Coturnix japonica: one gene and its partner. The protein of the gene in region 1 interacts with the protein of each later gene in a biochemical or structural test. Links are inferred from orthologs where the notes say so. Each region holds a gene or a part of one and is shown on either strand. Other genes may lie near its edges.

What was found.
Region 2: the proteins of REV3L (region 1) and MAD2L1 form a complex in vitro, tested with the Homo sapiens proteins (2 studies listed by BioGRID). The link is inferred for Coturnix japonica from reciprocal best matches to the Homo sapiens genes REV3L and MAD2L1.

The regions. Positions count from the first base shown.
Region 1 is NC_029518.1:60,207,203-60,214,819, reverse strand, and holds part of REV3L (DNA polymerase zeta catalytic subunit), read right to left. Parts: intron 5,401-7,617; coding exon 1,203-5,400; intron 824-1,202; coding exon 1-823. UniProt on the Homo sapiens protein: Catalytic subunit of the DNA polymerase zeta complex, an error-prone polymerase specialized in translesion DNA synthesis (TLS). Lacks an intrinsic 3'-5' exonuclease activity and thus has no proofreading function.
Region 2 is NC_029519.1:48,823,954-48,832,340, reverse strand, and holds MAD2L1 (mitotic spindle assembly checkpoint protein MAD2A), read right to left. Parts: upstream 4,945-8,387; 5' UTR 4,883-4,944; coding exon 4,807-4,882; intron 4,648-4,806; coding exon 4,501-4,647; intron 4,413-4,500; coding exon 4,292-4,412; intron 2,892-4,291; coding exon 2,788-2,891; intron 2,201-2,787; coding exon 2,028-2,200; 3' UTR 1,580-2,027; downstream 1-1,579. UniProt on the Homo sapiens protein: Component of the spindle-assembly checkpoint that prevents the onset of anaphase until all chromosomes are properly aligned at the metaphase plate.

The DNA of each region.
Region 1 (7,617 bases):
GGTGGACGGAGAATTCTGTGTGCTTCCAACAGGTGCTACATCATTTTCTTCAACAGAAGACAATACAACATCCTGACTTTTCCACTCTGCATCTTCATTGGACTGCTTGGGATCTGGAGATGCTACTTGTTGCCAAGGTGGAAGCACCGGAGAATCTGGTGAACTGTAATTGACATAATAGTCTTCTTCCTCCTCTTCCTTATCACGTTCTAGAGCTGAAGCAGTAAGTGTCTTGCTTTCGGATGTAGTTTCATTTGAGTCTATGTCACTTTTAATATTTATAGAAGCTCCTATAGTACTTACAGGCTTGTCACAGGTTTCCTTGGTTTGTGCTTTTGTAGTATCTGCCACAGAAGTGGGATAACCCTTTGTAGGCCCTATAGGTCTTTCATCTTCCAGGCTTGACAAATTTAAATCTTTAGCTGCTTTTACTACTTCTACAGATTTCTCTCCAGACAATATTGTGGAGCCAAAATTCTCAGCTGCCTTTTCCAGCTCAGCAGGATGATTCTTAGGCAATTTCTTGAAATGTTCATACTCTTCTTTGGCATGAAGCCATATCTGAACTTGTTGCTGGCTTGGAGCACACTTGCATGGCATTATAACAATTTTTTTGTCTTTGCTAGTTTTATGGCTATTACCTTCTCTTTTATTAGCAGCAGAGTGACCATAACGGGGAGGTGACCCTGGTCTAGGACCTTCAGTCATTGCTGAAAATGCAGTCTTCCAGAGTCGTAGCCCTTCTAATGAGAAGTCTCCCTCAAACTCAAGCAGGTCATTTGGAAGCCTAGTTTCTACAGTGAGAAGCCGTCCTCCAATCTCCCTGAAAAGAAAACAGTTTGAATTATTGCTTTGCTCTTAAGTGCATTGTGCAGGCAGTTTTTAAGACTATACACTAGCAGTGTTCAGCTAACTAGTCTTCTCACAATACAATTCCTGTGGGCAGTATTCATCTTTTACAAAGCAAGCAGGCGTACTTTCATTTACTACAATAATATCAAGCAATAAAAAAAGAAAGTGTCATGAATGAAGAAGGGTATTTGCAGGGGAAGTATAGTAATTTTCAGCTTCAAACATGCATATAACAGATGGAATCTTTCATGCAGCTGTGTCACATAACAGCAAAAAAATTGTTTACAGGAATAAATTAAACTTAATATAATTACAAGCATATGTAGACAGAAATGCCTTTAAAACAGTACCTTGGTTTTTCTGGAGCATCAGAAGGATTACTGCAAAATGGTTCCTGATAAACTGTTTCTGTGAGATCATGATCCAGCAAAGTTGCCATGATTTCTTCACGACTGGGTGGGGACATAAGCGGCTTAAGAATGTGAGCAGTACGAGGTGTAAAACTTCCATTTTTTGACTGTGAGGGAGAGCTGGTGGATCTTGGTGAACTATCTGGAGTCGGAGTTAATGCTTCGTTGTTTCTTGAAACATATAATTCTAAATCTTCAGAGGCTGCATCTATGAGTTCACCATCAGGAGAAGACAGTACAGATGTAAAAGAGGTATTAACTGAATCAAGTGGTTGACAGGGTTCAAAAGTGGTTTCTTTTCTAATGTGGCTTTGAATCCAATCTGTGCTGGTTGGCTGAGGAAGGTTAAGAAATCTCTCTTTATTTACTGCGTTTCTAGCCAATTTAAATTTCTCATTTAGACAGACCTCTGTCTCTTGTGTACAAGAGGTATCAACAGAGTTAGATCTAGAAGTTGAAGGATGAACGTTTTTCCTCCGTTGGCTATGGCAGTGGTTCTCATTACTATCCAGGGAGGTCTTCTCAAAAAGCTCAGGGCTCAGAGAACCAGGTCTTATCCACTTGCTTGTGCTTGAAGAATGCTGTTTTTCTTCATCAGCTTTTTGGTCATTACGACATAGAAAGTCATTTTCTGTTGTTTGTACAGAACCAAGATCTTGAACTGCATCACTCAAAAATTTTTGGGGCAAATTTTGATCTGCTGGGACAAACTGGCTTGCAGAGTAAAAACTGCAAAATCCAGTTTGCCCTATAGAATTAATATCAAAGTTGTAATTGTGGTCTGGCGATAAGCTGTCTTCAAGGGAGTAACAGCTTTCAAAACCAGGGTCTGAAAAAAATATAGGGCTATCATCAGACACAGAATGATCAGCATGACTAGTGACCTGTTGGCTTAAAGACTCCATTTTTGAAAGTTTGGGTGTTTTTTCTTTAGGTTTTGTATTCCTGGGAGTACGTGGTTTCCTAGGTGTGGCTGACCGTGACCTTTTGATTGCTTTGTTCTGTTCAGGAGGGCATGGGGTACCTTTGCTTAGCTGTGCTTTAACTGGTAATGGTTCTTGTGTAGCATTTGCATTCTGAGCTTTCTGTTGCCTCTTCTGAAGCAACTCTTTCAAAACAGCCAGGCCAGACTGTCCTTCACTAAATGCTGACGGGGCCACTATAGTCCTGTTCTTATATTGGGAAATGGGTTTTGGTTGTGTCGTTGTTTCTGGCAGAGACTTCTGTTTTACAGTTTCAGGTTTAAAATGCGACATTTCCAAAATAAATCCTCTCTGTTTTTGATCCCAATTTAGTTGTTTCACTGGACTCTTCAAAGAGGTTACAAAACAGTTCTTAGGCAACTGAAGAGGCCCCGGACTTTCCTCAGATGACTTAGGAACAGAATTAGAAGGATCAGAATGCTTGGATGCCTCTGGTATACAAAAAATCTGCTGCTGATTATTGTCTTTACAATGCAAATAGCTAGTGGAATGCAACTGATCCACCTTCATTGAGTCTGAAGACTCACGAGCTTCACTTAATTTCCCAGCTGATGGTAAATACCTGTGTTGCAAATTTTTTATCTCTTCTGCTTTTACAAGGGTCTTATCTTTAGAGATGCACACATTCTGTGTTACCTGAGTTGAGTGATTAGATGAGTCAAATATGTTTTTAACAAGAGCAGATTCCTTCATTCTAAATACAGCACTTTGAGTCCTGGGCCTTTGAGAGCTCACTTTCAGTACTTCTCTTCCGGATGCCACAGAAGTTGATGTGAGAGATGAATGAGGGTCTTCTCGTGGAGCAGGCAAACACTGTGCATCTAAAGGCTTATCAACTTCCATCAATGAATGAAAACAGTCTGATGAATTACCTTGTGTATCAGCTGCTGAGGGAAATGGTGCTGATGGCAGATACCCTGCTGTAAAGCCAGGAAGAGGACCATCTCTCCGATGATGAAGCGGCTGCGAGTTGTAAGACATCTCAGGCAGATCTTGATGTTTCAGCACAAACTTCACTTCTGTGGTTGAATGATTATTTCCTTTTTCATCTTTAAAAACCATGCGTTTTCTTGAGGACATTTTTTCTGTTGTTTTCTGTCTTTGTTTCGTTCTAGGCTTCTTCTTTCCATCATCTGCTGTTTTATCACTCTGATTCATCTTTTTCTTTTTCTTTGTAGATACAGTGGGGCTAGCAAATTTCTTTTTACATTTCTTAACCTGAGTTTTTGCTCGACTATTTTTTCCTACATTAGAATTAACAGTCCTGTTGTTGTACATACTACCCCTACTATGTAAAGCTTCTCTGTCCAGGTTGGTCAAAATTTCTTCTGCTTTTGGATCAGTGGGAGACCAGCAGCGAGGTGGCGATGTGTTTACTGGGCTTGTGCTTCTCTCAGAAAGAAAACCTAATTTAGACATAACATCACTATAGTTATAGTCACAGTCTTCAGCTTCAGCATTATAGGATGGTGAAGGAGGAGAAAGAATTGTGTGAGTCCTTTTCCTGAAAGATAAAGTTCTTTTAATATTATTTTTACTACCTGTTCTTTGCAGTTTTCCAGCTTTTTTCTTGGTTGACTTATGTTTCGCTTTTCTTTTGTGACTTTTCTTTGGTGTTAGTGGATAAATAGGATATTTGGTTGCAGGAGAGTCAGGAACTTTTGGCCAAAAGTCTTTTAAAGGTGCAAGCTTTCTATATAAATTCATCTTTTCTTCTGTGAGTACCACTCTTTCCTCAGTAGAATCTACTTTCCCTAGTTTAACAAGCATATTTTTTCTCCCTCTAAATCTATTGATGATAATATATTTAATAATAACAGGTGGCAGTTTTTTAGAAAGTCTTCTACGTTTTCGAGACTTCTGAGACCCATCCAAACTTTCAACACTATCTATTGGTTGAGGTAGATTAATTTTTGAGTTGTGTGCGACAAAGCTTGATTCACTGTCTTCAGTCTCATAATTTACCTTTCGTTTAGTTCGGAGTGTGTATTTATTTCCACATAATCCAAACGACTGCTCAGTTTCAAGAGATCCATCTCCCATCTGGCAGTCAGTACAATGAGCAGTACTTGTAGGCATTTTGTTTTCAAAAGCCTCAAGAGGAACTTGGACTAAGTCGCTAGGTAAAGCACTATCCTTATCAGGAATATTACTACAAGCATTACCTTGTGTATAGCAGCTTTCCTTCACTGATACAACATCACTCACAGTTGCGGGCTCCTGATGATTGATAAAACTATATTTCTTTTTATTCAGCTTCAACCTGGACTGTTTGTTGCCTTGGTGTAATTTATACGTCACAGGAGCTAACTTTTGTGGTCGGCTAAGACAGTTTGAAAGAACAACACTAGGAAAGAACATATAATGTGCTGCTTGTTGACTGAGACTTGGCTTTTCTGCTTTATGCTCCTGAAATTCTTCATACCTAATTTTAAGCTTATTAAGGCCACCTTCATCAGTGTTGTTTTCAAGTGAATGAACAACAGTTCGGCTGCCTCCTGAACAGGACACCAATTCACAATTTTCTGTAACTGTTGCTGGAAAAAAACTATTTATACTTGCGCTGCTGGCTTTTTCATTTAGTTCAGAGGATATTTTACCTTTGGAGTGGCCAGAGTGGCTCAAATCAGAAAAGTTAAAAGAATTTTTATTCAATATGCTGTCACCAATGTGGCGGCCCACGTGCATAAAAGAGACATCCTTCTCAGTCTTTCTGATGCTAGTATACTTCCTGCTAGGTATCTGTCTGCTGACTGATGAAATATCATCTTCATACTCAAAAATATTATTTTCACATGAAGGAACTGGGAGAGTATCTTTCTTGTTACTCTCTTTATGTGAATTTTCTGCATGGGTACTATTGCTGAATGATGTTGGGTACTTTGCTGTGTAAGTGCTTTCTTTTGTAAGAGAATGAACTGAAAGTTCAGGTCTTGTTTCTGTGTTTGGTTGCGAGAGGTCTTCTACTAAATCTTCGTTATTCAAAACGTGGTTAGAAAGGGCACTTGTGTGTTTACACTGAAAAGTAATTTTAGCAGAAGACGGGGGTTCTAGCGTAGCAGCATCTTTGTGAAAGATTGAGGTCTTTACAGACATTTTGCTTGTTGCAATGACGGAGGAGTGAGTTCGAGAACTTTCATTATTCAAAGGATTGTCTGAAATGGAAGACAAGCAATTTTACTCTAGTTTTCCTGTAAAAAAAGAATAACTAAGCTATTAATTATTTTAATGATATTTTCACAATAGCCCCCCCATACCAGAACAGTACTCTTCTAACTCACATTCCAATTATGATCATGACAACTACAGGCTCCAAGTACATGAGTTACTTTATCAAAATTACATCATTAATACATTTGTGTCTTAAGATATTCTGTCAGTTACTTATAAATTAAGGACTTGAATACATTTCCCATAGATTTCTCAATGATTTGCTTAGAGAAAACTTCAGAAATCATTTTCAGAAAGCTAAATACAAAGACATTAACTTTTAAAAAAGCTTGTATCCTGCTTTGTCCCTGAGAAGCATGCATGCTTCCTGCTTCTGAAAAGGAAAATAACATACAGGCAAAGTATGATCTTACAACAGCAAGGGCTTTGTATCAACCATCCTGTGCAATAAGTGTAAGACAGTTTGCTGTACTTTTAAAGCAGAGCAGTCCAACACCCATTCAGGTGTGTATATGAGGAGCTTGCTCCATTTAGTTAGATCATGAATTCATACCCATGATTACTATTTCCACAAAGTTCTACAACCAGCACACGCTGAGGTACTTGTGCAGTGAAGACTCATGGTGTGATAAATAGGACTATTTCTCTCTTCCATTGTTACTTTCACTACATTTACTGCAGGATAAGTGTGTGCAGACACCTGGTAAGTAACACATTAACAACTACTCTGCAGTAATCGTGTGCTTTTCTTAACTACAGTGAGCACCAAGCAACTTCAAGGAGTTTATTCCACTCCAGAGACAGATACTATAGAGCTGGGGACACGTGTTGGTTTGTTCATGTGTCCAAACCTCCAGATGAAATACTGAAGGGGAACATGAGTTATGAAATGTGCTGTACGACTTGAAAGTATGTGTTGCAAACTGTTGTACTATGTGGGATATCCTTTAAGCTTTCACCTTTTAAGTCTAAACCAATTTGAAGATTATCCAAGATTCATAGTGCCCTCACCTTCACAATTTATTTGTAGCCAGATGAAAAAAAGAAAAAAAAAGAAAGTCTCAATCTGTTTCTAATAACATTTTCTAATGCAAACCCAGACTCACTGAGCTGTGAAACACAGCTGGGAGGTACAGCCTGTGATTCTTTGGGTGTAGGAGGAAGCATTTACACAAAGAATGAGGATGATTAATGGAGGACGGAGAAAATGGGAGTTCAGTGAAATGTCAAGTGAACATTTGGAAGATACCTGATTATTCACATATGAAAATTGCAAAAATACTTATAAATCAGTCAGATGTTACAGACTCTGACATTCATGTGTGGAGAAACTTTTTTTTTCCCTTCTTTTTTAAAAAAATTCTCCTGTTTTAAGAAGGGTATGCAGTAGAAGTTATTTTATGTTTGATTAAATGAGAATAAGCCTATTTTAAGAGGACTTTCTTTTTCTCCATGTGAGTAATAAAAATATTTGAAATATTCTACAGTTTAAATGGTTTTACAAGATACAGTCTCATTAGCCAGAAGCATCTCTTTTTATAGGAAGTTACAAAGTACTGCAAATAAGGAAATTACAATTGTGTATTTTGCAAGAAGTCATATGAGTAGTACATCAAGTAATGTATTAGCCTTGCCATTTATACTTACAAAAGCAAAGGATAAAAAAACTATGCTTGAAACAGCAATCATGAAAGAATGGTTCTGGTTGTCTATATAGTAAAATCATATAGTTCATTTTCTTCAAGATGGAATTGTTTATATTATTATATTAAGACATCTATATTTTATCTTCTGCTTGTTACTTTGTCAAATAGCTATAAGAGATACTAACTAATAGATAACTAGTAATGGATTACATCCCTTACCCTAAGAGCAAATGCAGCAATAGAAAATTAGGTACATACATGATCACCAACAAGATTTTTACACTACCCGATTTTTACTATGGATTAAGAAAAGGTTATATACAAAAATGACGCTAATCACAATTTAAAATTTTAAAGGTAATACAATGCCATTTAAACAAAGGACAACAATTACTGTTGATTACACCAAGAACAAAAATGAACTTAATACTGAGAAAATTCAGGATACAGACATATTTCCCCTTCCTCCGCAGTGGGTTCTGTGCATTTTTGATTTTTTGCTCTCTGTTTATAAATGTGAAATTATGAAGCTCGTCTAACAGAACAAATAACAAC
Region 2 (8,387 bases), on another chromosome or scaffold:
CTCAGAGAAAACTAGAGATCATGGGTTGCATTAGCTATTGGTGCTAGTGGGCTATTCCAAATCCATTGATTTTTGGATTGCTGGGAAAAATGTGTTCAAATGACTGGTAATTTTTTTCTTTCTTTCTTTTCTGTTCTGCAGTCTCTGCAAAAACACCAGGACTTAGAACCTGCTCTTTTTCACATGTAATTTTCATGGACCTGGGCTCTCTACAATGATATACTACATCTCTTGTCTATTGCTACCTTTAAAAAAGAAGGTAAAGAAAGCCAACAAAATCCAGGTGATGAAGCTGCACTCCGGGCTGGTCCTTGAGAAAGAAACTTTATTTGGTGCAAAAAACGAAATGACTTGAACTTTCTGGAGCAATCTGATTTTTTTTTAAGGCGTTGGATTTTTTATCTTTGTTTTCAGTACCTTTTACTGCTGGCACTGTACCAGTCCACCCTCTCACCTTTGCTATGAAGCACGCGTTGGCATTCTCTGATGTAAATTTGTTACAAGGGAACAGCAACCATTGCTTTGATCCAGTCCTCCCCAAGGGAAGTGCTTAAAATTGCACTTTACTGTTTAAAGCGCACCTACTTCTAGGTGTAAGCAGGTAGTGCAGTCAGCTGCTTAACAACACCACTGACAGGCAGAGGGAAGTACTAGGCTTATTCCTCTGTTAAATACAGTCTAGCTGCAGTATGATTTGTCTTACTGGTTTATATAGTGTCTTTCTAATATTCTAAAATGGGACTGCTGTGGGGATGGATATTTCCTGGTAGGAAAGCCCATTATTTACACTCTGCAGCAATATTACAAAATCAATAGTTTTAAAATAAACTCTTTTTAAATGATAGTATTGTACCACTCGTGTATCAGTCAAACCATAAGTGCTTAAGTACTAAGTAACTCCAGTGTGACTGTTGGGAATGCTGAAAGCAGTGTATGCTAGTGTAAATTTTTTTTATGGAGCTTCTTCAGCTGGCCTGTTGTCTGATACTAATTTAGAAGGCAACGCTGTGCTTAATGATTATGGGGAATTAAGGCTCTTCACACTGGAGAAGGCTCCAGGGGGGGGACCTGATAGCAGCCTTCTAGTACCTAAAGGGGGCCTGCAGGAAAGAGGGGGAATTACTTTTTATAAGGGCATGTAGTGACAAGACAAGAGGAAATGGCTTTAAGATGTAAAAGGGTAATATTAAACTAAATATTGGGAAGAGACTCTTCACTGTGTGGGCGGTGAGACACTGGAACAGGTTGCCCTGTGAGGTTGTAAATGCCTCCTCCCTGGAAGGGAGCTGGGACAGGCTTTAAGCAACCTGATCGAGATGTAGGTGTCCCTGCCTGTAGCAGGGGTTGAAACCAGGTGATCTTACAGGACCATTCCGCAAAATTGATAGAGTCATCACTAATCATCCACAAACAGTATTAGGCACGAGTGGGGACAAACTACAATTAATGAATAGTTTCATGGATTTCACGTTGACAAAAGCACTTGATTTGTGACTGAGGTACTTGCGGCATTAGCCTGAACTGCTGCTATACAGAATTCTAACATCTAAAATACAAATTCCCACATTCTGTGACTAGGAGAACTCTATACAGTTTCAAGGTTTATTCCATAAAACAAGAATACAGACATAGAAAATGCTGTGCAGCTGCTGAAGAAGGACAAGACACACTGATGCAGAACAGCACCCTCTCCAGAACTGCAGTCTCATGTTCTTCAAAATGCTGTGTTTCATCTGTTCGGGCCTTTTCCTGCTCATCAGCTGCTTTTATGGTAAAAACTTTAGAATTAATCTTGGGATTAGATATGGATTATTTCTGGTCATGAAATCCAGACCTTGCATGAAAAACAGGCCTAATACTGTCATGAACACCTCAGAGCTCTTCAAACAGTGCCACCTTAATCTAGTGTTACACCACATTATCAGGCACAATACTGCACATTCAGCAAGAGCAATCATGTGTTCACAACATAGCTGCTCTATGAACAGACACTATACAAGAGGACAGGATATGTACAAGAAACAGTTTTAAGGAAAAGAATCCTTTTTGTAAGCCACCGTGCTGTTGACTTTATGGATCGTGGTAGTGAAGGAACGAAGACGAACCTCTTCTGAATTGGCAATGAATTGTGGTCCTGACTCTTCCCACTTTTCTGGCACTACCAAATCTTTATCTGTGTAAATCAGCAAGTCAAAGGCACCTGTAAGCAGGTGGGAAAAAGTTAATGCTACACACATAGGAATGATACCATAATTGAAGTTAAAACGCATGGAGACATGCAAGAAGGTTATCAGTAGTTATGGCATCTATAGAAAAAGAAATGGCAGTTAAAGGAATGAAAACAAATACTAGTTATCATTCCTGTAGTCGCAATATTTATGACAGCTGTAGGTCCTCAGATACACCAAGTTTCTTCAAGCTACTTAAATCACCTTGAATTGCACCTTTTGGGGAAAAAACGAGTTTAAGAGTTTAACTTCCAATGAAGTTGCTCCAAGTGCTTGATTGAAAGAGAGCACAGTATTTACAGTAGCAGTTCTTTTTCAGTTTGTTGTACAAGAAGCAGTACAGGACAATACTTAGAGTACTTTATCTGATGCTGCTTCTATACTGTACATAGCTGAGACTGTCTTGGTCTAACCAAACATATACCCAGAAATGCAATACATGACACTTCAAATAATAATAATAAAAACAGAATAGTGGAAAAGATTTTCTACAATCAAATGCTAGTTCAGGCTTTCTGAAAGAAGTGTCATTTCTTTCGGAGAAGTTACAAATACTCACAGGCAGTTTCCAGGAGAGGCAGAAAAGTTACCGTGGCAGTGATTTGTCTGATAACAGATCGAATTTCATCCTGAATGGCTTTCTGAGATTTGTCTCGGGGTGCGCTGGAAAAATGAGAAAACTCTTTAAGAAAACAACTTGCACCTCCAATACTGACAGCTTTCTTTAAACACAGTTCTTGCTGCACTGCTGTGGGGTATGTTTGCTGTATGGTTATGCAGAAGCATTCTTTCAAGCCTTAGGCTCACAAAACTGTAACTTTCAATTTGTTGTTTGTGAAACCTCGCAGTGTTTTTAAGGACATATTTGCTGTCTGGGTTGGGTGAGAGTTTTGGCAAAACAGCAGAAGAGCAGTAATACAGGACTTTGTTCAGTTGCAGATTACAAAACATTTTGATAACTGAATGATGGAATCATTTGAGTTGGAAGGGACCTCTAATTGTTATGTATTCCAACTCTCCTGCAATAAACAGTCACCTACAGATCCACAAGATTGCTCAGTCCTGCCAGCCTGACCTTGAGTGGCTCCAAGGATGGGGAATCTACTACTACTCTGGATGAACTGTGCCAGTGCCTCACCACTCTTATTGTAAAAAAAGAAACAAACAAACAAAAACAAGCCAAAAAACTTATTTCCTCCTTATATCCAATCTAAACCTCACTTCTTTTAGCGAAACACTTCACTCTTATCACACCCTGTGCCCTGACAAGTCTGTCAGCTTCTTTCACATAGCCCCCCCTCAAAATACTGAAAGGCTGCTCTCTGGTCTCCCCTAAGCCTTCCCCAGGCTAAACACCTCAGCTCTCTCAGACTATCCTCACAGGAGAGTTGTTCTGTCCCTGGGACCATTTTTGTGGCCCTCCTCTGGACACACTCCAACAGCTCCATGTCTCTCCTGTACTGAGAATTCTCAATCTGGATGCAGTACTCCAGGTGATGGCTCACCAGCGCAGAGCATACAGGCAGGATAACGTCCCTTACCCTGCTGACCATGCACAATTCTTTGGATGTGGCCCTGGATACAGTTGGCTTTCTGGGCTGTTAGGTCATATCCCTACTCAGGGATATGATTTAGTGTAGGGTTTTTAGAGTCAGGGTACTGGTTAGGCTGCGGTTGGACTTGATGATGTTCAAGGTCTTTTCCAACCTGGGTAATTCTATGATTTCAGGCTTCATGTCCAGCTTGCCACCAAGACCTTTTCAGCAGGGTTGTGCGCCATTCTTATGTCCCCCAGATTGTACTGAAAGCAGGGGTTGCCCCAACCCAGGTATAATACCTTGCTCTTAGCTTTGTGGAATCACATGAAGCTCACTTGGGCCCACTGCTCAGCCTGTTCAGGTCCCCCTGGATTGCATCCAGTCCCTGGAGCACATCAATGGCACCCACAGCTTTATTTGGTAACGTCAGATAGCTCTTAGGTTACAGAGGTAGCACTACCATACTTGGTCTTTCCCTTGTGTCTCCCAACAGGGAGAAGCAGGCACAGAAACGCTGTCACTCACCTTTCACCCTTGGCGCTCTTGTCACATTCAATGTCAAACTGCCACCGCTCCAGTACCTCATTGTTCTCAATGCTGGAGATGACCACCACCAGGCGCTGCACGGTGCACTTATAAAGCCACTCTGGAAGAGGCCGCAGCATTTACTACGGCTGTATGAGAAAAAGGGGAAGGAGAAAAGGGGACGGGAAGCGGGGGGGGGCAGGTCTCACCTTTCATCTGCTCCACCACGTTGTTGAGGTAGTTCTTCAGCTCGGGGTCGGTGGTGACGAGCAGGGTAAGGCCGTACTTCTGGACGCGGGTGAAGGTCTCAGGGGGGTAGATGCCCCGCTGGTACAGGATGCTGTTGATGCCATAAGCTGCGCGCACAAAGCGGGGAGGCTTCTGTAAGGGGGCCACCCCTCCCGCCCTACAGGCGGCCATGTCGGCCGCGGCATTAGAGCCAGCCGCCCGCCCGCCTTTTTCCCCCCAACCCGCCCCCGTCTCCCCGCACCCCTGGGCGGCCCGCAGCCCCTTACAGAAAAACTCGGCGACGATCTCCGCGCTGCCCCGCAGGGTGATTCCCTGCTGCTCGCGGCCCAGCTGCGCGGCCATGGCGGTGCCCGCCGCCCGCTTCAAATCACGCCCCGCCCCTTCCGGCCGACTGCGAGGGCTGAGCAGGCGGGATGCCGTGCTGCGCATGCGCGGGGTGCGGCCGTTGGCGGGCGGGGTTTGCGGTGTGTGGGTGCGTCCCGTCAGGTGCCGTTGGGTGCGTGTGTCCTTATGGAGGTGCTGCCTCTTCTCTGGGCTATTTCTGGTTGTGCTCAGTACGAAAGCCGCCCCGCTCAGCGTTTAGCAGTCGGATTGCTGTTAATACCCGCTATTCTCCTTCAGCCCCTGCGCTATTCCCGTCCCAGAGCGCTCTCAGAGCCCTTCCTTTCCCACTCTGGGATTTTCTCGTGCTTTTCTCCCTCCGAGGTTCCCTACGAGCCGCCTCCGCTGCGCCATTGTAGTTAGACCCGGTGGAATAGACAAACCCAGCGCTCATAGAAGCGAAGTGCGGCTCCTCAGCGCTCTGGTGGATTCTTAAGGGTCTCCCGTTGCAGGTAGCTGATCTGCTTCAACACAAATTGGTTTCTCCGTGTTTTGGCAGAGGCGGATGAGGAGCTTTTCCATGTGCTGCTGATGCCTGTAGTTCACATTTAGGGCATGTCCAGCTGCGTGACAAGCAGGAGGCTGTGGGGCTGTCACGGGGAGCAGTGGGGATAGTGCTGTGGGTGAGGGAGCGGTGTGTCTGACAGCCCGCTTCCTGAGCAGCTCGCGGGGACTCGGCAATGCAGATGACAGACTGAGTTATACGTTCTGGCACATCACGAGTTGGCCGTCCTTGCTTTAATTATCTCATGCTAAAGCCTTAATTTTCAGAAGGAATGTGAAATCCCAGTTGCATTTAATTTGGTTCTCTTATGATTCTTTAGTCATTGCTGTGTTTCTCAATTACATTTTGATATGACACACACATATATATATTTATTATTCTCTTTTTGTGGAATTAAACATCCCCTATTTATCTTGGCTTTTCTGCAACATTTAATGATTGCTTCCCCATGGCCATTGTTAATGAACCTGTGACAATCCAGATCACTGCTGCTCCTGCAAATTTTTTAAGGCAACTCTAGTCATGCTCCTGTAGTCATTCAGCAGACAAGAAGAAATAATCCATGTGTAAAGTTCCTTCCCAGGTTTGGGGCTTTTATTTTTGTTCTTGTTTAGTTTTTTAACCCTCGGGTCGTTGTGGACAGGTCTCTCCTGCCAGCAGAATAAAACAGTCTGTAGAATAAAAGTCCTGTTTGTTATAAAAGCCCTCTTATCACATTAACAAATTGTCATATTAAGTCTCAGCAAAATCCAGTTCTTCCTGTGCAGAGGAAGGAAATCTTACTGTGGGTAACAGAGCTCTAGTTCTCCTGTTCTGGTAGATCTCAAGCTCCTTTATTTCCTTCCCCACTTTAGGGGGAGCTTCTCTACTTACTAGCACATAGAACTAGTACTTTAACCTTCATCCCTCTTATTTTCTGCATATTGTTTTGAGTTGCCTTTGGGGGTTTATAATGCTGCCCATCTGAAACTGTCTGTGCCTAATACTGATGGTGAGTGTTGAGCTTGTTTGTTGACTTTTTGCTCCCTTTCTCCCTCAGTCCATATTGTGGTATTTGTAGATCCTGTGTTGGATGCTGTCTTAACTCCTGGTGGGCTGAGGCCCTTCTCAATTAGCTGAACTTCCACGGTTTCTAGTGAAATTGCTACTTTTTTATTATATCTGCTTAGTTCTGTGTGCTATGGGAGGGAACGATGTGTGGGTTGTTCCTGGCTAAAGGCTTTTCCTGAACCAGCCCAGCCATTTACAATCTCCGTTTCGTTATGCAAGTGTTAATCCGATGTGAAAACATCATTTAGCATGAATGAAGCTATGTCTTGATAGTGGCCTTCTTGTCTAGTGAAACAGCTTTTGTGAATTTGGGGAGTTTAAAAAGCTACTATTGCGAAACAGCATTCAGTGTTCTGATGGTTTTATCTCTAAGCTACCAGGAGATGGCACCAGGCACATGAATTATTTGCATCCTTTCAGTTTAGTCTTGAACTGCAGCGAGTTTGTTTTACCGAGTACTTGAGTTTAGACGAATTTTAGATGCATTTCTTTGCCAGTTCTTAAAACGTGTTCCAGAATGAAGGAGATACTTGGTCTGAAATCAGAAAATAAAGTTCGTGATAGAAATCAACTGTATGAAGATTTGTTTATTTTTTTTTAACTCTGTATGCTTATTTTCCTGCCTGCACCCTGCAAGTTGTAGGTAAATTTTCTTCCTCTGAACTAAATATTTTTGATTATAGAGGCTGCTTTTCTAAGAGATGTAAAAAGTGTGTGCACTGAAGTCTTTTTGTCTATGCATGGGTGTTTCCCATTGTAATATCATTTTAATATCGTTATGTCTGGTACATGTGGCACATTTCATACATAAAGTGAGAGCTTCTTCCACGGTATATCAGTCTTGTTCTGAACACCGAGAGCTAGCGCATATGTACACATATTGGCACTGACAAGCCTTTGAGAAGCCAGGGGGCACATTAATACATTGTGGGTATAGTTCTAATTGTATATAAGTATTCTTTATAAATGCAAACACTGGTATTTTTATAAGACTTTTTTCATTGACTGTGGGGAAAAATCAAGCGTATTTGTGGCACAATGAAAGTTTTTTCTCATGGTAAGGCATTTTGTGAAGGTGCACCTTCATTGATTGTATGAGCATGTCTATAGAATCATGCATATTTATTCAGCAGTTAACATGGGGCATTAATGCGTGTCATTTCTTTCTAGTTTAGTTTCTATAATTTATGGAATATGAACTGTATACATAAGCTGTCACTTTTGTTTACATAATAATTCTTTCAACGTTTCTCTGCTTTGGAGGAAGCAGATATCTACTACCGCATAGGTGTTGGTACTTGTATTTGAAATGATAACATAGATTGACAGTACCAAAACATCTTTGAATGGAGCTCCTTATCTAACACTGGATGAAAAATAACTGTTTTGATTTACCTTTTGCTGTTGTTACGCTAAAGCCAACTTAATTGATGAACAATTAATCTGAAGGGTTTTGGTTTAAGACAGGAATCCCGTTACAGAATCAGTAAAATCAGGACTTAAATGGGCCTTTCATGCTTTGAAAACTTTGTAGTGCTCAGTGATGTCACGGTAATAGGTGATATGAAAACCATTGAATCCAGCTCTAAGTCCCCAGTGAAACACCTGAAGGTTGATGATTAGAAAGATGAATGTTAATCCAGTTTGTGTCAAGCCCCTGTCATATCTGAAGTTCTCGTATTAATAAATTAATGGAAAATGATACAGTTCTTAGGTAGTTTAGACTTATTAAGAGATATACCACAGTTTAAATTAAAAACAGGTCTTTTCTAAGTAACAGGCTGAACAGACACATCAGCAGAGAGTTAGACTGTCGTGACATTAAGCACTGAGGTACAAAAGAATATTGTAGGTGGGTTAGCAGGGTTGAATGTACCATGATAGTGTCAGAAAGGCTTTTCATAGAGTATT